7 linked regions of the Coturnix japonica genome follow. The protein of the gene in region 6 purifies or fractionates together with the protein of the main gene of each other region. This does not show direct contact. Links are inferred from orthologs where the notes say so. Each region holds a gene or a part of one and is shown on either strand. Other genes may lie near its edges. The genes, in order: MYEF2, DNAJB6, BAG2, DNAJA2, KHDRBS1, SOX2 and HNRNPA3.

Region 1 (3,500 bases), on a different chromosome or scaffold from region 6:
GCTTATCTTTCAGATAGCTATTGCCACTGCTGAAACACACCACCACCTCCTTGCTATGCTAACATCTGCTGTTTGGTCTCTGTAAACATTCAGCTAGTGTCAGTGAATGTCAATGGGTGCTATTTTTTCTGCATGGGCAAGTTCAGTGACAAACTTTTCCTTCATGTACACTTCCATGTCAGGCACCCTTTTGTCAGACTACCCCTCTGCTGCCACCTGTCACACGGCAACAAAGTGTAAGAGAATATTGGTGGGAAGGTTTGACCCTGACTGCCATACCACCAACATCCGCCTCTGACATCATGGGCCAGTGTAATAAAATAGAAGGCATTACCTTGAGAGCAGCTCACATGTTGATATGGCCTTGGAACTGTTCAGTAATAGTTTTGCTTACAGCAGTCTTCTTACACTGAAAGTCTTTCTTATGTTGATAGCTTTATTTTTCTTTTTATTTTTGAAGGTGGTCTTGGTGGCATTGGTATGGGACTTGGACCAGGTGGGCAGCCCATTAGTGCAACACAGTTGAGCATGGGTGGTGGAATGGGGAACATGGGTCCAGGAGGTAAAGCCATGTTCTTCATTTTTAAGTTTCAGAGCTTTTAAGTTTATAATTGTCATTTCCGTGTTTGGAAGAATGGCACGTTCTTGTCAAGGCCATCCTTGCATAGTGTATTTTTGAGACACATTTTGCTTTTAGAAATACAGTAGGATCTTACCTGTGTTCTAAATGGCATTTGTTTCTTTGATTTAAAGGTATGGGAATAGATGGTCCTGGTTTTGGCGGAATGAATAGAATGGGAGGCGGTACGTGCAGTGAACATCTTTGTATTATGTCTTTTTAAACTACTGGATAGAAGAACATTCTTCCTTATTTTGCAGGGCTACCTGGATTTCGCGGAATGGAAGGAATGCCTAATATGGGAGGATTTGGAGTCAGCCGGATGGGAGGTGGGTGAATGCTATTAGTTTGCTAATCCGTGAGCTGTTTTAAAAGCTCTTTCTTCAGATAGAGATGAGTAATGTAGATGAATTCAAAGGAAATGTGGGTGGTGGCATGAATGGAAACATAGGAGCTGATATGAAAGGTGCCTTTGACTGATGGATTAAACCCACTTCTATCTAAACAAGCAGCGATGAAACAAGTGCTGTATCAACATCAACTTAGATGAATATGACAGAATTTTTCTGGTTTGTGCATTATTCTCTGCAGAAATGTTCCGTGGTGGAATGGGAGGAAACATGGACAGAGACTTTGCTCGTAGTGAAATGGCACTGAACCGTGGTTTTGGAGATTCTTTTGGAAGGATGGGTATGGTAACTGTTCAAGTCTCTGTGTATTTGGAAGAGTTTTAAGTAGGGGGGTAAAAATAAGAGGTGTGGTTTCATTTGGCCATCTTCCTCTGTCTCACTGGCTGTTATTATAAGGATGTTTATTTATTTAAGGATATTTATGTGTTTATGTCCGTCTCTGGAGATAGAAGTTAAAATGTTTTTTTTAATCTGTGGCATAGAAGTAATGATTTGAGGAAAGTATTGAGCTTCAGGCTGTTAACTGTGCCAGACATTATGTCATTTGGATATTGAAACGTATATTGGCAGTCCTGAACAAGCTGTTCATTCACTACCTTTGCAACTTCCAGGAGACTTCTTTTGCAAAGACATGCTGGAAAATGGTTCTTGCTGCAAATCATGCAGCATTGGAGAGCAGTGGTGGATTTTGGTTCCCTCTGTTTTCTTCCAGTCTTTTCTCATGCAGCTCAGGACAGGGTATCCTGGCCTCTTCTGAAACTGGGCCAGCTTTGTTGTTGTTTCTTTGTTTTTTTTTTTAAAGTATAAATAATGCCTTTCTGGCCGGGTTCATTTTTGCTACTTTTTGCTTCCCTCAAATGAGTGATGCTCTTCTATCTGTATAGAGGTTGAGTGGCCTGGAAGTGGTTAGTAGTGGAACCTTCTTCACTTTGTTACTATATTCTTACCTGGGTGAACACATAGGAGCCAGCCTTTCTTTTCTTCCCTGCCCCTCATTATGCTCCACACCTCAGCTCACTAATGTGAAAGTGCAGGTGTGTTAAAACCATAAGATTCATGGGCTCTAGGAAACATGCAACTTGTAGGCTTTTGGGGGAGAAAGAGGGTTGTTAATTTGGGCAAGTCTCAATGAAGGGTAACTGTTATTTGCTTCTCTACAACTACTGGTAATTGTGTAGCAAGCAGTAGGTATGTAGTGAGGTTATCAGTTATATTAGACTTGGTGGCTTGGAATTAAGGTCTTTAAAAATTGAGTATAATCTTTCACTATATGTACTTGCAGCTTAGGATGAACATCTGTTTCTTCAGTGAAAATCCAGAGCCAGTACAGTTAGAAGTGTTTGTACAAGAGGACTCAAAAGTCTGTTACTTGTACTACATCCTCTTAGGCCTAATGAATAAGTACTGAGGGCTTCCTCATACGCAGACTATTGGGAGTAATCCTGCTGCTGTTGAACAACCATAGTATCTTGAACAGGTTGGTCCATATGTTTTTGAAGTCTCTCTGACAGCATGTTTTCTGTGAGGAGGAAGCTTTCTCCCAAGAGACCAGCAGAGAACCACTGCTGCTGTTCTGAACTATATACAGAAAATGAATCTGATGGAAGATGAAAAGCCTTTGTAGAAAATATCAGCAGTTTACTTTCTGAAATGATTATGCTACCTATATCCAGAAACATTGCCTATTGTTATAGGAAGCTCTTTTATCAGTCTGGTGCTGCTGTTAGACCTGTGGTCACCTGAATGCTCTTTCTCTAGAAACAAGGTTTGTTGGAACAAATTTTGTCAGGTTTGTTCCACAGAACAAATGGGAGTGTTTGTTATGCAGTCTGCACAGCCCCCTACTCTGTTAGGCATTGACATGAATGTATTTCTTTGAGTTCTTACAATTCCCTCAGGGTTACTTACTTTACTGAATCATAGCACTTCAATAACATCAGCAAGTTTTCATTTTTTACCCATTTAAACCCACTTTCTAGAATCAGTTTCTCTCACTGTTCTGATGTTTTCATGGTTTTACCTGGCACTTTTTAATTAAAGTATTGCCCTTTTCTCTTTTTTCCCCACCCAATTCCATGAACTCTGCATTCATATACAGTTAAGACAGGCCTTGAGAGACAATTCTAGCTTTTACATGAGTTTCTTTAGGGTGGGAGAAGCTAGGACATATCTACACAGTAAGGTTCAATAGGATGAATTCTTCAACCTTGACAAATGGGGCTATTAGTCCCAATCTGGGAAATGGCTCATTTAGTTTAAAGTGTTTGCACTGCTATTGGAGTAGAGAAAATCAGGGTAGCTTACTTCCTGTAATAGGGAAGGAAAAGGTAAAGTTACTTGCTGGGTATTTCCTATTTAGATTGTGTAACAAAGGTACCAGCTAAAGTGTTCTGTGTAAAAGAACTGATGGGAAACACTGAGATCAGTGTGCTGTATCATTGTGTGCCTTGCTGTTGTCGCTATCTGGCAGT
Region 2 (4,142 bases), on a different chromosome or scaffold from region 6:
TTACTTACCTGTTAGACCTACGTGGCTGTGGATGAAGAATGACATAGAATTAACATGTATTTGTCACTGGCGTACAGATAAGGAAGCACATCTCAGATCAAATTAATGAATAGAAACGCTGATCAGGCCGTCCTTGCAAGGAATAAGCACCATTCACAAGCTGTGAGATCTCGTGGCTGCCAGCAGCTGCTCTTAGAATGTCATCTGCACACCCCAAGTCATCAGTAGAATATATCTCATGCTTTATGTTGGAATTCTGTTCAAGCCTTTGGTTACAAAGAGGCAACCGGATAAACCTGCATCCTATTGATTACCTAAGAAGCTCCATACAAATGAAAACTGAGATTGTGCTCAGCAGAAAAACTCGGGAGAATTCTAACGATAATTGATTATTTTGTGCTTTTAAAGCTTCTGCTTAACGTTTTAAACGTTAGGTGTATTGCTCGTATTTCAAGTCTAATTGTTTCTGATAAGGTATCAGCAAAAAAAGTTAGTGCTTATATTTAATTAAGTGGCACTTTCCAGAATTACTTTGCCAGTATTACCATAATTAAATGATGTGAGAACAGTCTTTGATACATGCGTTCTTCGCTAACACCGAAAATAGAATCTGTAAATAGAAAAACTGGATTCATTAAGCAGCAGAGCAGAGCAGCAGGCCAAGAAGGCTACAGCCATTACAGCATCAAAGGAACTAATATTAGTCCCTCTTTTATGCAGCATTTTCAAGTGTTTCTTATGCTTCTGATGGGCTTTTCATCTTTGACCCCCATAACTGACCTCAGAATCACAGAATTATCAAGGTTGGAAAAGACCTAGGAGATCATCTAGTCCAACCATTCCCAATACTTCCCGGCTAAATAATATTCATCAACACAACATCCAGACGTTTCTTGAACACTCCCATGGTCGGTGACTCCACCACCTCCCTGGGCAGTGCATTCCAATGCCTGACTACCCTTTACGAGAAATAATACTTCCTAATGTCCAGCCTGAATCTCCCCTGGCGCAGCTTAAAACAATTCCCTCTAGTTCTATCACCGATTACACGAAAGATGAGGCCAACCCCCAGCTCACTACAACCTCCCTTCAGGAAGATATAGAGAGCTAGAGAGCTGAGAATTCCTTAGCAATGGAGATCCTCTGATAACAAGATGTCTGCCCAAGTCTTCCATACCAACACCCATAAAGCCACCATCCCTTATCAGCTGCCATCACGAGACCATATAGAGACAAGCGTAATCGATGACCGTGATAAAAGGAAGCCGCCCCCTGCAGCTCCCCGCTCTGCCGCCAGGGGGCGCTCCACCCCCGCCTGTACAGGAGCAAGCGGTGCGTGCGTCGTTCGAGAAACTTCCGGAAACAGCCGGGCGGAAGTGACGGCGCTGTGACGGCTCTTCCTGTTTGCGGCTGAGGAGCCGCCGCCGTTGCCGTTGTCCCGGGGCTGCCGGCTGGGAGGTCACTGCGGCGGGTGAGCGCGGGGCTGCGGGCGGGTGTCGGTCGGTACCACAGGGGGAAGGGCTGGGACAGCGGGAGGGGGCGCCGATGGCTGGGCCGGGCCGGGCCGGGCCGGGCTGGGCTGGGCCGCGGCTCGTAGCGACAGCGCTGCTGGGACCGGGCCCTGAGCGCGGCTGTTGGTGACGCCATGCTGGGCCGCTGCGGGATGTGTGATGGTGGATCCGCTGGGCCGGAGTGGGGGGAGAGAGGGAGGGAGGCTGCTATGGGGCTGCTATGGGGCTGCCCTGCGCTCAGCTCATTGCGGGGTGGTGGTGAGCTGTGGGATGTCCCACACCGGCTGTGCTTCGTGGTTACCGAGAGCAGGGAAGGGGAAAATCCCTGCTTCTATTTCTGCTTGGGCTGGTTTCGGCCGCAAAAAGCGAGGAGTCAGTGATCTAGAGCCTATTGAACAGGCCTTTCTGTTTCCTTTGTTCACTGAGTAATTTTGGCACGCTTGTAAATTAAACGTGCCATTTTCTATCTTCTTCTTTCTATCTATCTATTTCTTTTTCTGATAGGAATTGAGTTCCGATTTCCTTTTAGTAACTCAGAGCAGGGTCAGAACTAAGTGTTGTGGGTGAAGGCAGCAGCGTTTTGAAAGCCAGATGTTTCCAGGTTGAGCTGCAAATTCATTGTAAGGTTGATTGTTGTCATGGTCAGTGTCTGCTGCGCTTCTGTCTGAGTGCTGGGTTGGGAAATGAAGTTATTTATGGCCAGTATTTCTGTTTGTTGCATGAGTTCATGTTGTGTTGCAGTTTGTCAGCACTACTGAAAACTGTGCAACATCCATCAGCCCACAGAAGACAGTAGAAAAGGTTCATCAAAATGTGGGGGCAGGTTCCTTTTAGAGTTCTGATAAGAGTAAATTGATTGGCTGGTTCCAATCTGGATAAGTTAATGTCACTAAAGTTGAATATAGAACGATGGGGATGCTTTTGATGTTGCATAGCCGGTGGTCTGGGCTTGATGTTTTTATGGGGTGAGGTGTCAGTGTGTGAAGAACAAGGTGTTGGTGTGGTGTCAGCCCAGCTGCTCACAGAATGACCCGGGTTGGAAGGGACCTCAAGGATCATGTAGTTCCAACCCCCCTGCCTGGCAGGGCCACCAAACATACACCTTTACTAGATCAGGTTGCCCAGGGCCCTGTCCAACCTGGCCTTGAACACCTCCAAGGACGGGGCATCCACAACCTCCCTGGGCAGCCTGTTCCAGGGCCTAACCACTCTCCTCCACTCCTCCCTAGTGATAGAGACTTCCCCTAACATCCAACCAAAATCTGTGCCCTCTCCCTCCCTAACTTAAAATACCAATTTCCCGTGTCCTGCTATTTGTCACCCTCTGTCCATCAGAAGGCTTTTTCATAAACTTCCCCTCGAGATCCTCGGAGTAGGTCCCTTCAGGTGCTACTGAGAAGGCTGATCCAATTGTAGGTTCACCCCGCAACCTTCTCTTTCTCCAAGGGCTGAACAAACCAACTCTCGTGCAGCCTGTCCTCAATCAGGGGAGTCTCCAGCGCCGCCTGAGGTCATCTCCTGTCCCTCCTGCTGGAGACCCTTCCAAAAGTTCCATGTCTTTTTTTTGTTGAGGGCTCCACACCTGACACAGGTACAACAGATGGCCCTCACAAGAGCCGAAGTAGATAGGGTACAAATCACCTCCTAAAGTCGCTGCGTGACCACCCCTCTCCTGATAGAGCCCCACAACAGGCCCCATCACTTGGTCCTCCAAGGCTGCGCTTCCCACTGCGTGCTGACCTTGATTTCTGTTTACCCTTTGGAGATCGTTGTACTTTCGTTAGGGATTATGTTCAGCTGATGATCGAGAGGCTTGGTTGTTGGAGCACCATTCGGTTTGCTGGATTATGTTGTCACAATGAAGATTTGTTTGGCTGAGCGAGTGAATGTATTTACCCATCTCGTCTCTGATTGCCCTTTTTTTGCGTGTTCCTTTTCAGTTGTTTAAAACTAGAAGTAAATACTGAAGTAGCACACAGCGCTTGTGTAACTGTTTCCCCTCTTGTCTCTCATGGTGCTGTGGAGCAGAGAGCAGGAGCTGCTTGGAGGTGCAAGTCAAACTGGGATTCAGTTCCTCTCTCTAATACCGACAGGTCGAAGGCCTCTGTCCTCCGGCTTTCTAGCGCTATTCGGACTCAGCTATATGGATAAATATACACTTTTAACTGTAAAGATTCTTCAGAACTCCACCCTGTGTGTCCTGACACAATTTGCAAGTTGGATCCGCATCGGAGAGATGTTTGTGTGTCCATGTGAGGTTGGAGGCATTGCGTTTGGTCTGGCATTGAGTGAGGCTGGGCAGTGACACAGCCATGCGTGTTAACGTTCTGCTCTTGTGCTGCTGGCGCATCTCACCCATGTCAATACACAAAGCTCCCAGCGTGCAGTAGATCTTCTGCTTCATGCATTAGAAATCGTGATGCTTTGAATGGAACATTTTCTATCAGCAGCTTTATTGTGGCCATAACGTTAATCAATTTATTAATGGAATGGAAAGAACAGCGACAAGCTACTTCACCTGTCAAAAACTTGTTAGTTTTTGGGATGATTGTTTGTTTCAGCATAGATTTGAATATGCTTTTTGGAGCATATCCAGAGGAAGACCAGTGGCTGGAACACTATAAGGACAGG
Region 3 (3,986 bases), on a different chromosome or scaffold from region 6:
TCTCTCAGCAGGGTGCCAAAAATTGGGCTGCTGGAGCTATGCAGTATTTGCCCAAACCTGGAGTTAGGGATAAGCAAATTCCTTTTTAAACAGTCACAACAATGGCAAGCAAAGCCTGTGTGTGCCTTGAGCTGCTGGAACTCTAGGATCAAGGGGTTTCTGTGGGAGCTGGTTCCTGAGCTCCTCTAAGGGAAGGTTCTGCTCCATGTGGAGAAGTGATATGTGATCTCCCACCAACGTCATTACTGACTGTGGTTCCGCTGTGTTTCCTACCATTCAATGGACATACAGTTCTGTTGGGCACTGAGGGAGAACAGAAACAACTTCCAACATAAGCCTTTCTGTATTGTCTTAGACTACTTCTTGCACTGAGACAGGGTCCGTTAGCACCAAGGTGCTGTTCTTGGGATCATCTGAAGGACTGTGGTTTTAAGAATGCTCAGTTCTGGCTCTGCTCACAGACCAATTTCCTTGACCTCCAAATTTTCTGCAGTCTTTGTACTAACAGCATGAGACAGACACAAAGCTGTTGGAGCAGGTCCAGAGCAGGCCGTAAGGATCATCAGAGGGCTGGAGCTCATCTCCAATAAAGAAATGCTAAGGGAGTTGAGTCCGTTTGATTTGGAGAAGGGTCTGGAAGACCTCACTGCATTCTTTCAGTATTTAAGGGGAGATGATAAAAGGGAGGGAGACTGAGATCATGGCCCAGTAGTGACAGGACAAAGACAAATGATTTGAAATCAAAAGAGAGGAGGTTTAAGATAGATATTAGGAGGAAATTCTCTACTTGGAGGGTGGTGAGGCATTGACTCAGCTGCCCAGAGAGCTGTGGTGCCCCATCCCTGGAGGCGCTCAGGGCCAGGCTGGGTGGGCCCTGGGCAGCTGAGCTGGTGGGGGGCAGCCCTGCCCACAGCAGGGGGGTGGCATCGGATGGGCTTTGAGGTCCCTTCCAACCCGAGCCAGTCGGTGATTCTACAACGGCCATCGTGTAAAGTGTAGACACTAAAAGTCTCCCTCCCGTTTCCTTAGCTCCAGTTTCAGAAACAGAGCAAGAAGGCCGCCGGTGCCGACGCGGCGCTGCGGTCCTGAGGGCTGCGGGAGCTGAGGACGCTGCGTGTGACTCGGCTCCGCGCCGCGGTGCCCGGCGGGCCGAGCCGCGAGGCGGGGCGCGGAGGCGGGGTGCCGCGGGGGCAGGCGGCGGGCGGGCTCCTTCTTTGGCCATGAGCGGGACGCCGGCATTCGGCCGCCGCCGCCGCCTGCGGGACGCGGGAAGGGAGCGGCCGCCGCCGCCGGCAGCGGGCGAGTGCTATGGCCCAGGCTAAGATCAGCGCCAAGGCGAGCGAGGGCGCGCCGCCCCAGCAGCAGCAGCAGCAGCAGCAGCAGCCGCCGTCCGCCGGGCAGCTCCGAGGCCGCTTCTACCGCTCCACCTCCATGGCGGACCGCTCCAGCCGCCTGCTCGAGAACCTGGACCAGCTGGAGCTCAGGTGGGGCCGGGGCGGCGGGGGGTCGGGAGGGACGGGACGGCGGGGCGGCGGGGCCCGGCGGGAGAGCCCCGCTGCCGTGGGACGTGTGCATGGGTGCGTGGAATAGAGGCGTTTTTATAAGAGAAACGGATTTTCCCGGCCCGATGTGTGTAACGCCAGGCGCTGCTCTGCTCTGCTCTGTGGGGAGCTGCTGGAAGCTCGGAGCTGAAGCGCGGTAACGCTCGTGCACCCCGTGCCTCTCTCAGCCCAGGCACCCAGCACGGCCACGTTCCGCGCTCGCAGACCCTCTGTGTGCCCGCCGGGCTGCCCGCACTGACGGCTGCCGCTCTGAAACCCTGAGCTGTGGTACGGCCAGCACTGCGCTCTGCGGCACAGCCCTATTTGTAAATAGCTCCGGATACAGCCCGTGTGAGCTGCCCGGGTGAGGTGGGCACCGCGCTTCAGCCAGCAGCGCTGCTGTCCCACACAGCCCGCCGTGCATTGAGCGGCTCTCAGAGCCACCCGGGATGCTTCCAGGTCTTTCTGTAATTACAGAGCCCCACGAGAGCTGGGTTTTTCCCTTTCTGTGTGCATTGCTTTGCATTATTCAGGAGGCAGCAGCGTTAGCCTTTCACTGATGAAATCTCCTCGGAGCTCTTCTCAGGCTTCTCCGAATTTGACTAAACAAAGTCAGTGCCTGCAAACAGGTCTCACTGCTGGCATCCAGGTGGAGTGTGGTAGCGTATAATTACAAAATGCTGCGCTGGATAGGCAGGAGGGTATGCAAAAGTGGGTTTTAAATGTGCTGAGCAACTCCGACACGAAGCAGACAGTTTGATTAGCCAGAAACGAAGGCCAAAATGAAACCCTCCTGCTTGCCGTGGGCCTTCCAGAGAGGCACATTTCTAAGTGTGGAATGATGGCAGAATAGGGGCAAAGTGCTGTGATTAAAGTCAGCCAAGTTTCAATTTTGCTGTGTGTAAGCAGTGAAGACACCTCACTTTAAAGCCATTTGAATGTTAGGAGGAAGATTGCCTGGGCTGCTTCCTTCTCCAGATGGTGTGACCGAGCTGCAGCCCCGTGGATAAGACTTGTGAATGCCACCAGTGAGGAGTGCCATAGTGCACCATGGGGTTGTTGAGGGGCTTCATAAAGAACTTGGCCATGAGGCGGCTGAAGGCTGGCTGGGCCCCGCATCCCTTTGGAAGAGCTGATCCCAGCTGCCCTCCTTTTCCTGCCTCCCCCAGGGCCATGCTGGGCTGCCGTGGGCTGGTACCCACCAGCCATAGGGGTGCACAGCTCCCTGGGCCTTGCAGTTCTTGCCAATTATTTGAGGCACCTCCAGGAGCTACTGCTGAGTGGTGCCCAGGTTTGGGCCCGCACTGCAGGTGTTGGCAGAGGCTCAGGACAAGCCACTGCCCCAACTTACTGTGCAGCGTCAAGGGATCTCACAGCCATTGGAAGCCGCTGTTTATGAGTCACTGCGTTCTGATGGCAGCATTAAATGGACATGTAGTTCCAGGTCTAACGATGCACAGGCACAAACACAGACTCCTGCTTTTGTTTCCTTTCTTTCCCTTTATAACTTCTTGTACCTTTTGTCCTCTTCTCAGCCCTTTCCTCACTGCTCATTACTCCAAGCCCCAGCCCAGCAGGAGCAGCTGAGGACAGCGGGCTGAAGGGTCCCACTTGGCCTCGGCACTTTGGCTGAGCTGTGTTTCAGGAAAAAGCGCTGAGGCCTCACTGAGTGTTTCTGCATCCTTCTGGAAATTCATCTCCAGCGGGCGAGCTGCAGTGAGCTATTTCTGCAAGCCCCTGGTTAATGCGTTATTGCAGCTGTCCCAGGAAAGCGGATATCACGTTTCTGCTGGTGGAACAAAGCGTGGGTCGGCCCACCTGTTCCTCCAGGGAATGCTCTGCTCATGTCCATGGCATGCAGAGAAGAACGGCATGGCACCTCTCATCGCTCTCAGACCAAGGCAAGTCAGGAGTGAAGAATGGTTCTTTTAGGCTCAGACGATCCGCGGAATATTAAACTAATGCTGAAAGCAACAGATAAACTCCATCCATAAGGATGTCATTGGATATTTTCACCCAGCAGAAAGAAGCCCATACTGCTGCACTCACCACAGTAAGGCACAGACCTGACAGCCTTCTACAAGGAGAGGAAGCTGCCAGAGTCGGGTCTGCCTTAGGCACTGTGCCCTCGCTGCCAGCAGAGCAAGCTGGGGAGGGGCAGTCAGGAGCCCACAGAAATGGCCGCTGGCGTGACTGGGTGTGTAATCCTGTCTGTCAATCTGATACCCACTTGTGACCTTTCCAGGCCCCCTTCTCTGTGGACAGAGGCTATATATCGCCAGTTCAGATTGTATTCACGCATGGCGATTTATTTTCTTCCCTTCTCTTCCTTCTCTTTTTTTTTTTTTAAAGTCAGTCAGTCACTGAAATACCTAGTGGTAGGAACCCACACTGTTACCTTGACAAAGCCTGCCTGCATCTCCTCAGCACGTTCCCCTACCTGTC
Region 4 (3,500 bases), on a different chromosome or scaffold from region 6:
ATTTTAAAACAGGAGAACAATTGAGCAACTTTTTAAGTGCCTGACAAGTCTGACAATCTCTGTCATGTATGTAACTTGTTTTTGCCTGTTGGCTACTGCAATAATGTGCATTTTTTACGTGTTAGTAAGATTGTCTTGTGCTAGGCCCAAAAAGCAAGTCAATGGATATCTGCGATAAAATATCATGTTTTAGTATAAAGTAAGATGTAATACAACTATGTCTAAGTCTGCCTTCCTCTCTTAGTAGAAAGGAGGGGTGGAAAAGGTTATGTTGTGTACTATCATCCTAGGGTGTTCATGCTGGGCAGGGAACTGTAGCAAAATTCTCCCTTAGTTACAAATTATCATGCACTGATGTGATTCTGTCCTTCTTCTAGTTCAAAGAAATAAGCTTTGCCTATGAAGTATTGTCAAATCCAGAGAAACGTGAGTTATATGATAGATATGGAGAACAGGGCCTTCGAGAAGGTAGTGGTGGAAGCAGTGGAATGGACGATATTTTCTCCCACATCTTTGGTGGTGGATTATTCAATTTCATGGGTGGTCAGAGTAGAAGTCGTAATGGTAGAAGAAGAGGTGAAGATATGATGCATCCTCTCAAGTAAGTATCTTATTGCTGAAATTAATATACATTTTCAAGTTTTTCTTATCAGTATTCTTCTCTGCTAGCTTAAATTTTGGTGTGCTCCTCAGGTGAGGTTATGCAGTTTGCACCTCCTTTTCAGACCTGTATGTGTCATGTATGGTCCAGAAGGCAGTTATCTTATTTTCAATAAATAGTTAATTATGTAGGTTATCTGATACTTTGATTTGTCTGACTACTAACCTGCAACTAAGCCTTAGTTGATGTTTTTTTCTTGGTTTTGCTTCTGAGTTATGCTTGGAAGTTCTAATGTGAAATTGCATTAAATAAACAAGTATTGCATAATAGCTGGACTCTTAGGAAAGCAGAGGTACTAATGTTAGGCAGCTTTGTTCAAACTTCCTTTAAGGCTGCATCTTTTCTATGGTTGGCAAACCATGCAGAGTCTGGTTGCTTCTGTTTGCTTACTTAGTTTAGCAGCTAGTAGTGTATGCTGTGTTACTAATTTTCTTTAGTTTTGTTTTTGTTTGTATGTGCTAATGCTGGGCAACCTTTTCTAGTTTAATATTCTTGACGTTGAAAATTCTGTCCAGTAATGTGAACTTGGGGTTAATCAACTTCTCTCACTTTACAAAGGTTATTAGAATTTGCTTGTGTATTCAAGGGTGTCTAAAAATGAACAAATGTAAAGAACCATATAGCCTTGGGACTTGTTAGTCCTTCTTTATGCCTCCTCTCCCCCAGTATCCTCTGTTTTCCAATGGAAAGTACAGCAGTAAGTATATATTCTTGTGTATGTATGCAATAAATACCTCGAAGATGATCTAGAGAGAGGAGGGCTTCTCACTTGCTTGGTAGAACCTCTTCGGAAAAGAAAACTAAAATATCAGATGTGACTGTAATGAAACATAACATGCTATGTTTGCTTGCTTCCTATGGAGAAGCCTGACTAATTTGTTTTTGTTTCTGCCAGTTACATCATAGCTTTTCTCTTAAGTGGTGTTCAGGGCTGTGTCTATGTATTCATATGTATGGAACAATTCTTAATGATTCCTTGTGAAAGCCAATGTGGTGCTTTTTAAAAATATCTTGTTTTAACAGCAGATTTAGTCATTATGAAGAACTGTTTTTCTATTACTTGTCCTAGGCAGATATCTTAATTATGTGGAGAACAGATACTGTTAAATGATAACACTGGAGAAAACGCTTTATTTTGCAGAGTCTCTTTAGAAGATTTATATAATGGAAAGACAACTAAACTACAACTTAGCAAGAATGTCCTTTGTAGCGCATGTAATGGGTGAGTTTGTTTCTGCTTCTGAATTCTCTAGTTGCTTTGTTGATATATGATATAATGAAGCATTTTCTGTGTCAGATCTTCATCGGTATTTAACTTACTGGGGTCTTCACTCAGACTGGAAAATAGTTTAATTGTAATTTCATGGGCTTTGAACTAACTGGGGTTTGTATGTGTGTTTGTGTTTGCCAGTAGGGACACCTGACTCATTGGCAGTGCAGTCAGGCATGTTAACCTACTGCTGTAAATATTCTGTCATATGTTTCTGAAAGGCTTGGTTTTAATGCAACTGGTGCTTTCTATTCTAGTCAAGGAGGGAAGGCTGGAGCTGTTCAGAAATGTAATGCTTGTCGGGGTAGAGGTGTACGTATCATGATCAGACAGCTGGCTCCTGGAATGGTTCAGCAGATGCAGTCTGTATGCTCTGACTGCAATGGAGAAGGTAGGCCGGCTCTTCTGTATTCCTCAGTGCGCTTATAAATATGCAATAAAAATATGTAAATATTTATCTTGTGTGTTTGGAAGAACTGCTGCATAGCTTCTGTCATACAGTGAAAGGCATCTCATCTAGGAGAGCTTTTCCCTCGTGTGGTCAGTTAGGTGTCTGGTCCCAGTGTGGAGAAGTCATTTTAATTAGAGCAGCAACACCATTGTATGTCTGGAGTGCAGAAAACAACCTGGAAACTTGAGTAATGGGGATTAATTCTGGTGTTTGTTTTTTTTTGTGTGTGTTACTTGGTGGTGGTGGTGGTTTCTGTTTATTTTGTTTTTTAAAGACTTAGATGTGAATTTTACTTGTTGCTTTTACTCTTCTATTAAAAAGACCAACATCTGGGGGGGAGAGGGGAGGAGGGTTAAAAGCCTTTATTTATTTAATTTTGCAGTCTTATTCTCTAAGAACAGCTTTATGTTAAAACTGAAGTTGGACTTAAAAAAAAAAAAAAAAAAATTACTAAGATACCCTTTGCTGAATTGGTTGTTTGACCGTCATGCGATATGTGCTTTGTGTGAATTCTTTCTGAATGTTAGGCAATTTGCAGAGCAGTGATGCAGCCTTTTAGATAGCTTTGTTTATGACAATACCTGAAATTACAAAGGGCTGTATTTCATTGAAATATTTTACAAATGATATTTCTGAACATCTTGTTTTCACCATTCGAGTACATCATTTCAGCTGGGTAGAACAGAGAATTTAAGCTGTTCTGTATAATTATCCTTCAGTTTGCTGGAGGATGTACTTGTGTTGCTAGAGGTGACAAACAGTGTGAAAAACTATTCACTGTCAGAGCAGTATAGAAGTGGAATCTTATGTGCCAGGCTATTTTAGATAATTTCTGTCTTGTATGAAGCCAGTTTGACCAGCTGTCTTCTCTTCAATGTATGTAAATCTCAAGTTTTGCTGACTATATTTATATGATACTTCAGAGCTGTGGTAAAATACTGCAAAATGGGACTCCCTCAGTAATCCTCCTTTCACTGATGTTAACAGAACAGAACTAAGTTTCCAAAATTCAGTTTAGTAGTTTGAAATTAGTACTGTAACTTTTAAGAGAGAGTGGATGCTTATGTTTGGTTTTAGGTTTACTCCTCGTTTATAATGATTATCTTGCATTTTAGCAA
Region 5 (4,267 bases), on a different chromosome or scaffold from region 6:
GTGTCAGAGGTGCAGCAGAAGGTTACCTTCTTGCCACGGGGAATGGCAGCAGGCTGGCAGCATGCGTGGCAGTGGCTTCCCGGACTTCATGGGGGCAGTGATTGCTTTGTCTCAGAAGAAATCCTATGGGGCAGGTAAAGGGGGGTTGGTAACGCGGCTGCATTGCAGGAAGGAGGCTCAGCAGCCACAGTGCCACTCCTGATCTCAGCCCGAGCTCTTCCCTAGCAAAACCACCAAACGTGGACCTGCAGCACCCTGTGCTCTGCCCTCCTCACCATCCCGCCTGCCTGGGAACATGAAGGACCTCCAAGATGCTCCAGGTAAAGGTGTGAGCGGAGCAGAGGCAGCTCACTCACAAAGCACAGGAAGCTCAGAGATGAAATGCCAGCTCTGTCCAAGGAGAGGATCTCCATGAAATGGAAATAGCTCAGATTAATGCAAGAACCTGGAAAACACCTCCAGCCGACAGACACGGCACCGGATGCCTCCTGACTATCCCCAGTGCCTGGAAGCACTGTGCCTATGGGATGTCAGCACCTCCAGCCCTGCAGCCACAGCAGCCAGAGCATGAATGAAAGCAAGGAAAAGGAAGCTGGTGTAGATCCTGAATCACGGCAGTGAGGAACCTCATATTCCAAGGTGCAAAAATCCCCGTTTGCAACGTCTGTTCAGGGTGCTGTGTAACACAATCCCACCATCTACCCCCTTCACTGCTTCATATCACACAGTACATTGTCTGAGGATCAGCGTTACATCACTGTGTGGCCTTTCATCCCAATCCCAAACAATGCTGATTTTTCTTTAGAAACACTGAACAGCTCCAGAATTACAAAGGTACTTTCAGGCTACTTTAAGGCTACTTTTAGACACCATTTTACACTCCCCAAACCCCCAGTTCTCAATATACCTGAAGCAAGCAAAAAGCACCCAGCCTTCTTCCAATGTGACACCTCACAGAGCTGCAGCTCACTATGAGCAAACTCCAAGTTAATGGAGAAGCTCATAAATCCTTGTTAGACCGCTCTGCAAACAAAGCTGGGCAAAGGGGGCTGAGAACGCTGCTCCTTCTTTGGGAATGAACACACTCCTCAGGTCTCATGTCACTGAAGGCATTAGCACAGAGCTGTGAGCATCAGCTGGCTAAACGCTTTTATTAATGAAAAACATTAAACTGATGGCAAATCGGATTATAAAACTGATTTATTTAGATCGAGGTGCCCACAAATGATGCCAAGTTACCCGTGACGACGTACCTCAGCTATCTGCAGAACAGGAGACAGCAATTCTTAAGAATTATTTCCCACATTAAAGGAGGAACTAAAAAAGCCTCGAGCGCTGCGACAATTATGGCAATATTCAGCAGTATAAAGACCTGAGGAATCATTTGGAAGCAGGATGACAAACGGCAGCGCACGGAGCTGGTTCAATGTGCTGCTATCCCTGTGCTGGCACCACCTGCTCAGCACCGCACGCATATTAAGCTCCAAGCGGCAGCCAAGATTTGAAGCTGTTCCTGTTTGAAGCCGGCTGTGGGCTCTGCAGGTGGCACTGAAATACAGGAACAAAACTCACCAACCCCTATGAGAGGTCAGAAAGCTGACATGGCTCTATTGCAGCGCTGGGTGCGAGGATGGCACCTCCAAGCTGCACATCCAGGGGTTAAAGCTCACTGATTTCACATGTTTTAGATATGGAAATGTCGATGCATAACCACAACACGACGGCCTCTTCCTAAAATTGCTGTACTTATTAAAAACAGCTGTTGACTACATTCCTAATTAGTACTTCAACCTTGTTATGGTGCCTATACTCAGCCCCAGCAGGGTACAGTGCACATCCCCACAGCCCGTGGAATGCTCAGGCTCTGCTTTTAGGCTCCAGCTGTCCCGCTTATCTGGGAAAAACAACCCTCCCGAGCCACAAGGTCAGTCTGCAGAATAGTCTGTATGAAATGCTGAAGGCTCCGATTTTATTGCCAGGTATCAGAGGCAGCTGAGCCCACCCCGGCAGCTGCACGGGGAGGGAGATGGGGAGGAATGAGAGCGGGCAGGCGATTGGACAGCGGCGATGGGGAAGGAGAAGGCAGCTCCGGGCACAGAACAAAGGCTGCCATTCCCATTCACTACTGAGGATCAGCAGCACCACGGAACGAGCTCTGGACGTGTTACCGAGTGGAAAAGCACAGATCGCAGCCCACGATCTGGCCGCTCAGCTCGGACCCCTCCCCCAAGGGATGACAGCAGCCAACCTCCCTGTACAACGAACCTTCGGCTCCCGGTGCCCTATAGCTCATATCACACACAGCCCAGCGCTTCATACAGAGCCGTTCCCAGCACTCGGTACCGCGCTGCCGCCACATTCCATCCCCACCCCCCGCTCCGCTCGGTACCTGCGCTGAGGAGCTGCATGGCGTGAGTGAAGGACGGGTCCAGGCTGTCCTTCTCGGCCATCAGCTCGGGCAGGTATTTGTTCTCGGGCTCCATCTTGTTGTTTCCCCCTGTCAGCAGCGGGGCGGGGGAGGCGGCGGCGGGGCCTTGCGAGCCAGAGGAGCCTGCCGCCCCTCCGCCGGTCAGCAGCGGCTGCGGCTGCTGGGCCCCACGGCCCCCCCCGCCCCGGGGAGACCGCCGCGGGTTGGGCCCCCCTTGGCGGGATCCCCCGGGTCCCCCCGGCCCGCGGCCCATGCGGGCGTTGGACTCATCGCGGCGCTGCATGCGGGCACGGAGCGGGACGGGCCCGAACGGCGCTGCCACCCCGAGCAGCCGCAGCGACGGGACCGGAAGTGGGAGACCGGAAGTACCGCCCCATCCCTCACAGCGCCCCCACACAGCGCTTCCCGCGCGACCACCCCACGCGCTTCTGCGCATGCGCTGTCGCGCAGCCCCTCGGCTTCACAGGGCGCATGCGCGGCGTGAGAAGGAAGCATTCTCCTTGTGCGCATGCGCAGTGCCGGGCGCGCGATTGGGAGAGCAGCACGTGCGCGGCGCTGTGGCGCCAGGCTCAAGGAGCTTTACGCATGCGCACTGCGGGTCCGACATGGCGGTGCGGGGAGGTGCGATGCGGGACCGGGACCTGGGATATGGGCCTCATGTCTTAGTGCTGCTCTGCCCGGAGCACTGTGTGCTGTGGGCTGGCTGCAGCAATAGGCTTTTATAGGCTGAATATAGGAGCTGCTCTGCTTTAGGGCCATCCCTGCTCCCAGCATTAACAGGAGCACCGGATGTGGATGCGATCACATCCCCATTGCTCCCTGCTGACACAACGTGTTGTTAATCACTGAGCTCTGACACACAGCGTTCGTTCAGCTACAGAACGGACCTGCTGGGCTGCACAGCTCCGTGCTGCGCTGTGCACACGGACGGGAGGGGCCCCGCTGCTGCTTCCTGCGGGCAGAGCACACAGCAGCTCTTGTTCCAGCTGCAGGGCGGGCGCTCCGGGCCCGAACTAACGGGGCACGTGGTTGAGACCGCATCCCTGCCCGGGGCTGTGGCCGGGGCTCGCTGTCTGTCCGTGCTGTCTAACCGGAGCTGCCGTATCAGGACAGGAGGGGATGGGGGGGTTACAGGAGGGCTGTTCCATCGCCCCTCTGCGGGGGGGTGCGCACGTGGTGCGGGCGGACCGGTCCAAGTGCGGCGGGGGGAGGCGGCGGTTAGGGGGAGAGTCGGGCCGTACCAATGCCGGCTGCGTGGGGAGGGTGCGGGGAGCTCCGGCTGCGCAGGGATGAGAGCGGCGGCTCCTCGCGGCTCGGGGACGGGGCTCAACCCGCATCTCGTGTGGCGGAAAACGGCTGCGAGGCTGCGCCGCTCGCACGGCACAGACAGACACGGGATCCCCCCGCGAGGGCACCGAGTGGGCGCTTCCACGCGGGGGGATTGAGGCGGAGCGGGCCGTACCACTGCCGGTTGCGGGGGTGCGTCGCGCCGTGCCAATCAGCGCCGTGCGGGCCGTACCACGGGGCAGGGCGGGGGGGGAGCGGCCTGTGCAGTGTGAGCCGTGTGGCGGCGGGGCTGTGCGCTGTGTCCGCCGCTCGGGCCGCACCGGGGGTCGTTCAGCCTCAGCCCCGTCACGGGCCCCGCCGCTCCCCAACGCCGCCGCCGCCCCTTCCTGCCCCCATCGCGCCCCCCGGCCCGCGGTGTGGGAGGCGCCGGGTCCGCTCGGAAGAACGGCGCCGCGCTCAATGCCCGGGGTGAGGAACCGGGGGGGGCCGGGGTGAGGAGGAGGCCGGGGGAGAACCGAGAGCAGCCCCGGGGCGGGCATGGACCGGGGGGGG
Region 6 (4,245 bases):
GAGCTGCGGGGTCCGGCCGTGTTCGTCCGCGCACCCACCGCCCCCAGAGCAGGAGGCAGCTCCTCGGGGAGCCGGACGGCCGTCACCTCGTTTTCTATAGCGCGTTATGATGCAGATACGCCAAATATAGTTGATTGCGTCGATAATTAAAGCAGTTAGTTCAAACGAAGCTGTAAATACCGCCCCATAACGCAGTTGTTGGGCAATTCCCATCCTTTATGGGTGCGATAAACGCAGTGAGGAAGGGGCCCGGCCCCGCGCGGAGCCGCGCTCCGGTATCCGTTTGTTACACCACCACCGCCCGCTCCTGCCCGCTTTTCAAACTTCATTATCCCCAAAGCTGTAATATTATCGTTATGATTTGGAACGTTGTTATCAACCGCAGCCCCGTGCACGACCAATAAAAGCTGTCGGCGCGGGGGCAGTCGGGCCGCGCAAAAATCGCGCATCACCCGGTGCGCGCATCCCGCAACGCGCGCCCATTTTCCGACGCTTTCAACCCGTCTCTTCTCTCCAGGTTATATATATATATATATAAATACACCTTCGAATTACACGCGTTAAAGCCGATCACATTTATTTGCATAATCCAGAGATGCACCCTCTCCCGCCGCACTTTTTCTACGCGTTACCAGGACGGGGGAGGGCGGGGGGGGGGCACGGCCGCTCCCTTCCCCCCACTCCATCTCCCGCTGCTCCGCACGGTGCCGGCAGGGGGAGCCGCAGTGCCGCGGCTGAGCCCTCGCGGGGCGCCCGGGCGCTGCCCCGGCCCCAACCCGGCCCTGCTTGGGGCCGCGCTTCTCGGGGGGCCCTTCTCGGGGGGCCTCGGCGCTGCCGGGGAGCGCGGCCGCGGGCAGAACAGCGCCGTCGGGGCGCGGCAGTGCGCGTAGAGTGGGGCTGGTTAGAGCCCCCCCCCCCCCTTCCGCCCCCCTTTCTCTCCCCTCCTTCCTTTGTCGTCAAGTGCGTTTTAGCAACAAAGATCCCAACAAGAGAGTGGAAGTAAACTTAGCCGGGGCTTTGTGCAGCCCCGTGTAGCGACAACAAGAGAAACAAAACTACCTATTTGTCCTACGGGCCGCCCCCCCGCCCGGCGCGCCCACCCAGCATCGCACACGGGACGCGTCCCGGGGCTGCAGGCCGCGCACCGCGTTGTGCCGGGAGGGCCGTCGGGGGTTCTCCGCTCCTGCTTCCAGCGGGCACCCCACGATGGAAGGAGGGAGAGAGAAGGGCACGGCCGGCCCCGTTCTGCTCGGGGCCCGCTCGGCTCCTGTCGGCGGGGCAGCCCCGGGGCGGGGGCTCCGCTCCCCACGGACGGGGCGAGCGCTGCACACGCAGCCGGACGGCTCAGGGGACACCGCAACGGGGCGGGGGGTGGAGGGGAAACCATTCCTCCATTCCTGCTCCCCTTATGGCTTCTTCCAACATCGACTTAAAAAAAAAGAAAAAAAAAAGCAACGTAGCAACAATGCTGTTTACCCACTTCCTCCAAAAGGCGTGTGTGACCTGTTGCTGGAAGGGGAGATACAAAGGCTTCCCAGTGGCTGCCTGGGCCGGCCCTGGGCCCGCCCCCCCCCGCCGCGCCGTCCCGGCGGCTGAGAGCCCCCGCCCCGTTTCATGCAAAACCAGGGGTAGAGACTTGTCCTCAGTGGCGGAGCCGCCGAGCGCTGATTGGCCGGGGCGAACGCATTTATTCCCTGACAAGCCCCCATCACATGGATGGTTGTCTATTAACTTGTTCAAAAAAGTATCAGGAGTTGTCAAGGCAGAGAGAGAGAGTGTGTGTGTTTGCAAAAGGGGGTAAAGTAGTTTGCTGGCTCTTTAAGACCGAGGTGGAGAGAGAGAGAGAGAGGGAGAGAGAGAGGGCGGCAGGCAGAGAAAAGGGAAAAAGGAGGAAGAAGTTTTTTAAATCCGAGGCTCCGGCGGTAATAATAGCAGTTATTAGCATTATTAATCCATCAGCGAAGAGGAAGATTCTGATCTCGATCCAAGTGTGGTTTTGGGGAGTCCCCCTCCCCCCCTTCATACCCCTCCCTAGGAAAAAAAAAAAAAAAAAAAAAAGAGAGAGAGAAAAAAAAAGAAGTCCGGCTCGGGACTTGGGCGCCGCTCCGCTCCGCTTCTCCGCTCCGGGCTGGTTCCAGGCAAAAGTAGTTTGAATGTACAACATGATGGAAACCGAGCTGAAACCTCCCGCCCCCCAGCAAACTTCGGGGGGAGGCACAGGCAACTCCAACTCGGCCGCGAACAACCAGAAGAACAGCCCGGACCGCGTCAAGCGCCCCATGAACGCCTTCATGGTGTGGTCGAGGGGGCAGCGGCGGAAGATGGCCCAGGAGAACCCCAAGATGCACAACTCGGAGATCAGCAAACGGCTCGGGGCCGAGTGGAAGCTGCTGTCCGAGGCGGAGAAGCGGCCCTTCATCGACGAGGCCAAGCGGCTGCGGGCCCTGCACATGAAGGAGCACCCGGATTATAAATACCGGCCCCGGCGGAAAACCAAGACCCTGATGAAGAAGGATAAGTACACGTTGCCAGGGGGCTTACTGGCGCCGGGCACCAATACCATGACGACCGGGGTAGGGGTTGGGGCCACCTTGGGAGCTGGGGTGAACCAGAGGATGGACAGTTACGCGCACATGAACGGCTGGACCAACGGAGGCTATGGGATGATGCAAGAGCAGCTCGGCTACCCGCAGCACCCGGGCTTGAACGCGCACAACGCGGCGCAGATGCAGCCCATGCACCGCTACGACGTGAGCGCCCTGCAGTACAACTCCATGACCAGCTCGCAGACGTACATGAACGGATCGCCTACCTACAGCATGTCGTACTCCCAGCAAGGGACCCCGGGCATGGCCCTGGGCTCCATGGGCTCGGTGGTCAAGACGGAATCCAGCTCCAGTCCCCCCGTAGTCACCTCCTCGTCTCATTCGAGGGCTCCTTGCCAAGCCGGGGACCTTCGGGACATGATCAGCATGTATCTACCAGGTGCTGAAGTACCAGAACCAGCTGCCCCAAGCAGACTTCATATGTCCCAACACTACCAGAGTGCACCTGTTCCTGGCACAGCCATTAATGGCACACTCCCTTCTACTCAAATGTATGTAAGACAAAGGGGCCGGGGGGGCGGGGTGGGGGTGGGGGGGGAAGGAGAACTAAACAAAACAAACAAACAACAACAACAACAAAAAACTTTTATTAGAAATTCTGGACTTTTTGTTTTGTTTTGTTTTGTTTTTGTTGGTTTTTGTTTTTTGGTGGTTTTTTTTTGGACTATTTTTGTACAGAGAAAACTCTGGGGGGGAAGGGGAGGGGGTGGGGGGGGGGCAGGGAGGGGGTCAGAAATAAAGCCGACAAAGGAACTTGTATAGAGCTCGGAGGGGAAGCGACTACACAAAACTTTTTTAAAGTTCTAGTGAGAACGGTAGGAACTTTGCAGGAAAAGTTTGCAAAAGTCTTCACCGGTAATATTTAGAGCTTAGACTCCAAGAGCGGAGAGGAGAACGTTTGAATATTTGCAGGCAACTTTTGTACAGTATTTATCAAACTCCACATGGCAATCAGAATGTCCATCGCTCATAGGGAGAGGGGAGAAATCAAAGCCGAGAATTCGCGAGTGATTTTTTGACCACACAGACTCTCCGTGGAGCACCGTGGCCGTGGCAGCTCTGCTGACGGCAGCTGCGGGAGGAGAGGGAATTATTTTGCAGCATTTGGACGTTGAAAATTGGTTTGGAAATTGTACAAAAGGCAAAAGCGGTAGGAGGAAGACTGGCGAGCCGTGGGCTTGGTTTGCTGGGAGAGGGCAAACGTTTCGATGTACGACGTTTTGCTTTTATTTTCTTTTTTACTTCTGGTTAAAAAGCAAGAAAAAAAAACAAAACAAAAGGCCATGAAGGTTCACACGCCGTTTGTTAATTTATAATAACTTTTTTGTTTCCAGACTTCATCCCGTTCAAAGAGAAGGAAAAAAACAAACAAACAATCCCCCCCCCCCCAACCCCAACCTGAACTTACTGTGTTTGAAATATTTTCTTATGGTTTGTAATATTTCTGTACATTTATTGTGATGATATTTTAAGTTCCTTTTTTTTTTTTTTTTTTTTTTTTTTTTTTCCTCTCAACATATATTAGTAATTGAACAAAATTATTTAGGCTAACCATACCTCTTCAGGACATAAGAACACTGGCAGAGTAACATGAAGCCTTCTTTCATAACTTTTTTTTTTTTTTTTTTTTTTTTTTTTT
Region 7 (3,500 bases), on a different chromosome or scaffold from region 6:
TTCCACATCACAAACAACAGCTAAGCTACCCCACCCACCTACAAAGCGGTCACTTACACACTTCATCTCTTAAAAGGTTGCATACAGATCTTGTTCATAAAGTTTATTATGACACTATTTTTCAAAGTTAACATTGTTGTCACAGTACAGCTACAAGAGGCCCTGTTAAAAAGAACACTGTCAATACATTCTAAAACTTTTAGAAATACCATATCCATTTTCAGAAGGGACATCAACCCCATTCTCCAGTTGTCCCTGCAACCAGATGCAGGCCCCAGTTACAAATCTACACGACTTCTAGGTGTAGCAACGTACAAAGCAAGTCAGCAGTTGGGTGGCTCACTCCCTAGTGAGATGTTTTAGTTGTTAATGTGTTTTCAAACTCCAAGTGGGTTGGTTAAAAAAATGCCTTTATTGAAATACAACCTTCCCCCACCCACCCTCCCCACAAGCCCAAATTACGTACAACAACAAAATGTTCACTGCATCAGCAATTCTTGCTTTTAAGTTAGAGATAGTTTAAAACTCCACAGAAAAGAATAAGCAGACTTTGATATCCAGTTTGGAGGCTAACATCTTTGACAGTGATTCCTTGTTTTAGTGTACTGCAGTCTAAATACACTCAATAACAGTGTTCAAATAACATTGTTTAATTATTTTTTTTTTCCAAGCAACACACTCATTTTGCTAATAACTTCTTAAAATTATATTATTAATATGACTGATTATGCCTTGAGCCATTTCATACATCTTTGCAGATTCATTCCTACACTGGAATCGCATTTACCTTATACTGCACATTGACCCAGAAGTGAAACAGGTGTAATTTCCAATATCACATATTGTCAAGTGTCTGAACATTTCTTCTATTGACTGTGTCCCTACTCTTCTGAGTCTCAATTGTCAGAAAGCACTGTCCTGGCAATAGTTGAGAGAGAAGTGACATCAGCTGAGAAAAGCAGAGATTGTAGTGCCTTAATTTGGAGTTCAGAAATGAGAATTGAGTACAATTTCTAGCCAGATGTGCTGATAAGATTTGCTACTCCAGTGCATCAAATCAAACTGTAAAATACTATCATTCTACCTCCTGTGGTCAGGTAAAATATAACTAGATTGTGTTTTGTTTCATCCTCAAGCTCTTACCTGAGCTTAGATATTCGTAAGGGAAAAAGCTCTATGCTACTTAGAGCCCATCGTGAATGGGCTTTTGGAACGCCATTACCTGGGACTGTCAGTGATTACACCTGTGCTACCCTTGGCTCCCAGTCAGATGAATGTGTCCAGAAAATTGCCTAGGGTGCATGCAAGAAAGTATATAGCCATTAAGTTATTTAGGAACATACCTATTACTCTCACTATGATGCCTCATTTAATCGAAACAGCACAGTCTGGTGTGAGGGAGAGGGGAAAGGGGAGAAAGGAAGGGGATGAAAATTCCAAGCCACCCTCCCCAAAGTATAGTTTTATTGAAACAGAATCATTGTATATCCCAAGGAAACAGGCACTTGATTCCCACCCCACCTTAACTTCTCGGGAATTACAATAAATAAAAAGGTAAAAAGCAAGTTTCTTTTTCTCTTCACCCAGAACTTCAGCAACTGCAGTTATCCCTTATACATCTCAGATGAGACTGGACACAGCTTGAATGTGACTAAAGTTGGTCTTGTTAAAATATTTATCATGCCTTATTTTCTTGAAGCGCTACTACTAATACAGAACTACAAATTAAAAAAATATGCACAAACCAAAAAGTAATTTGAAATTTTCATTTGAAGGTAAAGCTTAGTTCTATAATTCACAAACACTAATTTGAGTAACTCAATCCTAGTTATACATCTAAACAAACTATAATGCAACATACAGATGTTCTCCCTCTGTATGCCTATGTAACTCTTATCAATGACAGTTACATATATACACTGAGACTAGACCCCTTAAGACTGCAAATCAATAGGTGTTTCTATTGTTAACTTTAAATTAATACAAAATAGTAATTGAGAAATGCATTAATCTTCTCTACTAACAAGGAAACACCCTAAACTACATTTTATTTCTGTTATAGAGTTCTCTGTACCAAATGTGGAAGAACTGAACTACACAAATATTGAAAAGTTAAAAATTCCTTAATTTGTTTATTCCTGGTACCACTACCACAATTTACAGGGCAATATACCTGATGTAATGGGAAAATAAAAAGAAAAAAGAAAGACAAAGCTACAACAGATAAAGACCTCAGGAATGTACATCTAATCGACACTACATTGCATTAATCAATAGCTGCACTTTTTGCAAACTGTGGCTATGACAGTCCTGAACAAGAAGGGTTTCCTGTTTAAGCTGCAGTAACTTTTCTGACTATGGATCATCGCTCCTTCTGTGGCAGATTTTACAGTTCCTCTAATGCATTTGGGACGACTGTCTCAAAGTAACCTGCAGCTTTCCTGACAACTCCTCGCTCTCTCTCCTGCTAAGAACTGTAGCCTGTTGAATACAGGATAAGAAAATTATTACTCTCAGTGAACAGTTGTACATTATTCATCATCATTATAAATATTCATTACACTTACCCTTTTTCTGGTAGCATTTTTAGAATCTTCTACCACCATAGCCCCCACTTCCACTTCCAGATCCATAACCACCTGCACAAAAAACAAAACCCAGCGCATATTGAAACATAAGTGATACCAAGGAAATGTAAACAAAGGGGTTTTTTTTTGGTACAGAAATATATTTACCACCGTAGGGACTGCCTGAACTTCTACCACCAAAGCTGCCACCACCCTTCATGGGACCATAATTGGACTGCTGCTGTCCACTGTAGTTACCAAAGTCATTGTAGTTTCCACTGCCACCGTAATTACCTGAAATAAATTCACAAAGTTCGTGAAACTGAGACATTCGGTGTAAACTAGCAAAAAGTAAAGTAAAGCTACTTGTAAAGTAGCAATTTGAAATTAACATGGAAGGCCAAAGTTAATGCCTCCCAACTCAAAAAAAACTCTGCTTTCACCATCATTCTTCCACTATTCAGTGCTCTGTACGTGACATAAACTACAAGCCAAAAGCAATTTTTATTTGCTGTAACAAGTGATAAAACTGTAATGAGCACATAGATACACCAGAAGGTATTGGTAAGCGTGCAGTAGATTTTGCTGCTTAACCTCCTAAACTCACACTGGGTCCTTGCATGTTCTTACTGCTTCTTCCCCCCAAAATTCTACTAAAGAACCTAGCATGTTTTAGTGTTTGTGGTACATCCTGACAAGAAACACATCATTAAAGGCCTCTACTGAAGTGATCATAGATTCAGAAATTAATCATATCATTTCAAAGCTCCTGCAAAGATATCAATGCTGGCAACACAGAGTAAGAATACGGCTGAACTGATAACAGGACACATCTAGACTTTCATTTAATGCCTTCCACGCCATCAAGGGTTTACCCTTGCTAATGCTGTAAAACAGCCATGTAGTAATGTGGTTCCTGGTTATTTCAAAAGG

The links.
Region 1: the proteins of SOX2 (region 6) and MYEF2 purify together in Homo sapiens (affinity purification with mass spectrometry; 3 studies listed by BioGRID and IntAct, with this or other methods). This does not show direct contact. The link is inferred for Coturnix japonica from reciprocal best matches to the Homo sapiens genes SOX2 and MYEF2.
Region 2: the proteins of SOX2 (region 6) and DNAJB6 purify together in Homo sapiens (affinity purification with mass spectrometry; 3 studies listed by BioGRID and IntAct, with this or other methods). This does not show direct contact. The link is inferred for Coturnix japonica from reciprocal best matches to the Homo sapiens genes SOX2 and DNAJB6.
Region 3: the proteins of SOX2 (region 6) and BAG2 purify together in Homo sapiens (affinity purification with mass spectrometry; 3 studies listed by BioGRID and IntAct, with this or other methods). This does not show direct contact. The link is inferred for Coturnix japonica from reciprocal best matches to the Homo sapiens genes SOX2 and BAG2.
Region 4: the proteins of SOX2 (region 6) and DNAJA2 purify together in Homo sapiens (affinity purification with mass spectrometry; 3 studies listed by BioGRID and IntAct, with this or other methods). This does not show direct contact. The link is inferred for Coturnix japonica from reciprocal best matches to the Homo sapiens genes SOX2 and DNAJA2.
Region 5: the proteins of SOX2 (region 6) and KHDRBS1 purify together in Homo sapiens (affinity purification with mass spectrometry; 3 studies listed by BioGRID and IntAct, with this or other methods). This does not show direct contact. The link is inferred for Coturnix japonica from reciprocal best matches to the Homo sapiens genes SOX2 and KHDRBS1.
Region 7: the proteins of SOX2 (region 6) and HNRNPA3 purify together in Homo sapiens (affinity purification with mass spectrometry; 3 studies listed by BioGRID and IntAct, with this or other methods). This does not show direct contact. The link is inferred for Coturnix japonica from reciprocal best matches to the Homo sapiens genes SOX2 and HNRNPA3.

The regions. Positions count from the first base shown.
Region 1 is NC_029525.1:8,888,744-8,892,243, reverse strand, and holds part of MYEF2 (myelin expression factor 2), read left to right. Parts: intron 1-460; coding exon 461-562; intron 563-753; coding exon 754-804; intron 805-879; coding exon 880-948; intron 949-1,210; coding exon 1,211-1,309; intron 1,310-3,500. UniProt on the Homo sapiens protein: Transcriptional repressor of the myelin basic protein gene (MBP). Binds to the proximal MB1 element 5'-TTGTCC-3' of the MBP promoter. Its binding to MB1 and function are inhibited by PURA.
Region 2 is NC_029517.1:7,716,774-7,720,915, forward strand, and holds the start of DNAJB6 (dnaJ homolog subfamily B member 6), read left to right. Parts: upstream 1-1,342; 5' UTR 1,343-1,471; intron 1,472-1,477; exon of another isoform or gene 1,478-1,499; intron 1,500-4,142. UniProt on the Homo sapiens protein: Has a stimulatory effect on the ATPase activity of HSP70 in a dose-dependent and time-dependent manner and hence acts as a co-chaperone of HSP70. Plays an indispensable role in the organization of KRT8/KRT18 filaments.
Region 3 is NC_029518.1:79,197,086-79,201,071, reverse strand, and holds the start of BAG2 (BAG family molecular chaperone regulator 2), read left to right. Parts: upstream 1-1,186; 5' UTR 1,187-1,308; coding exon 1,309-1,484; intron 1,485-3,986. UniProt on the Homo sapiens protein: Co-chaperone for HSP70 and HSC70 chaperone proteins. Acts as a nucleotide-exchange factor (NEF) promoting the release of ADP from the HSP70 and HSC70 proteins thereby triggering client/substrate protein release.
Region 4 is NC_029526.1:6,535,196-6,538,695, forward strand, and holds part of DNAJA2 (dnaJ homolog subfamily A member 2), read left to right. Parts: intron 1-377; coding exon 378-601; intron 602-1,802; coding exon 1,803-1,883; intron 1,884-2,188; coding exon 2,189-2,322; intron 2,323-3,500. UniProt on the Homo sapiens protein: Co-chaperone of Hsc70. Stimulates ATP hydrolysis and the folding of unfolded proteins mediated by HSPA1A/B (in vitro).
Region 5 is NC_029538.1:4,465,967-4,470,233, reverse strand, and holds the start of KHDRBS1 (KH domain-containing, RNA-binding, signal transduction-associated protein 1), read right to left. Parts: upstream 2,801-4,267; 5' UTR 2,712-2,800; coding exon 2,390-2,711; intron 124-2,389; exon of another isoform or gene 91-123; coding exon of another isoform or gene 27-90; intron 1-26. Other genes in the region: PTP4A2 (protein tyrosine phosphatase type IVA 2), read left to right, coding at 3,672-4,183. UniProt on the Homo sapiens protein: Recruited and tyrosine phosphorylated by several receptor systems, for example the T-cell, leptin and insulin receptors. Once phosphorylated, functions as an adapter protein in signal transduction cascades by binding to SH2 and SH3 domain-containing proteins.
Region 6 is NC_029524.1:14,829,380-14,833,624, reverse strand, and holds SOX2 (transcription factor SOX-2), read left to right. Parts: upstream 1-1,445; 5' UTR 1,446-2,153; coding exon 2,154-3,368; 3' UTR 3,369-4,009; downstream 4,010-4,245. UniProt on the Homo sapiens protein: Transcription factor that forms a trimeric complex with OCT4 on DNA and controls the expression of a number of genes involved in embryonic development such as YES1, FGF4, UTF1 and ZFP206. Binds to the proximal enhancer region of NANOG.
Region 7 is NC_029522.1:14,084,638-14,088,137, forward strand, and holds part of HNRNPA3 (heterogeneous nuclear ribonucleoprotein A3), read right to left. Parts: intron 2,862-3,500; coding exon 2,736-2,861; intron 2,640-2,735; coding exon 2,587-2,639; 3' UTR 2,568-2,586; intron 2,482-2,567; exon of another isoform or gene 89-2,481; intron 1-88. UniProt on the Homo sapiens protein: Plays a role in cytoplasmic trafficking of RNA. Binds to the cis-acting response element, A2RE. May be involved in pre-mRNA splicing.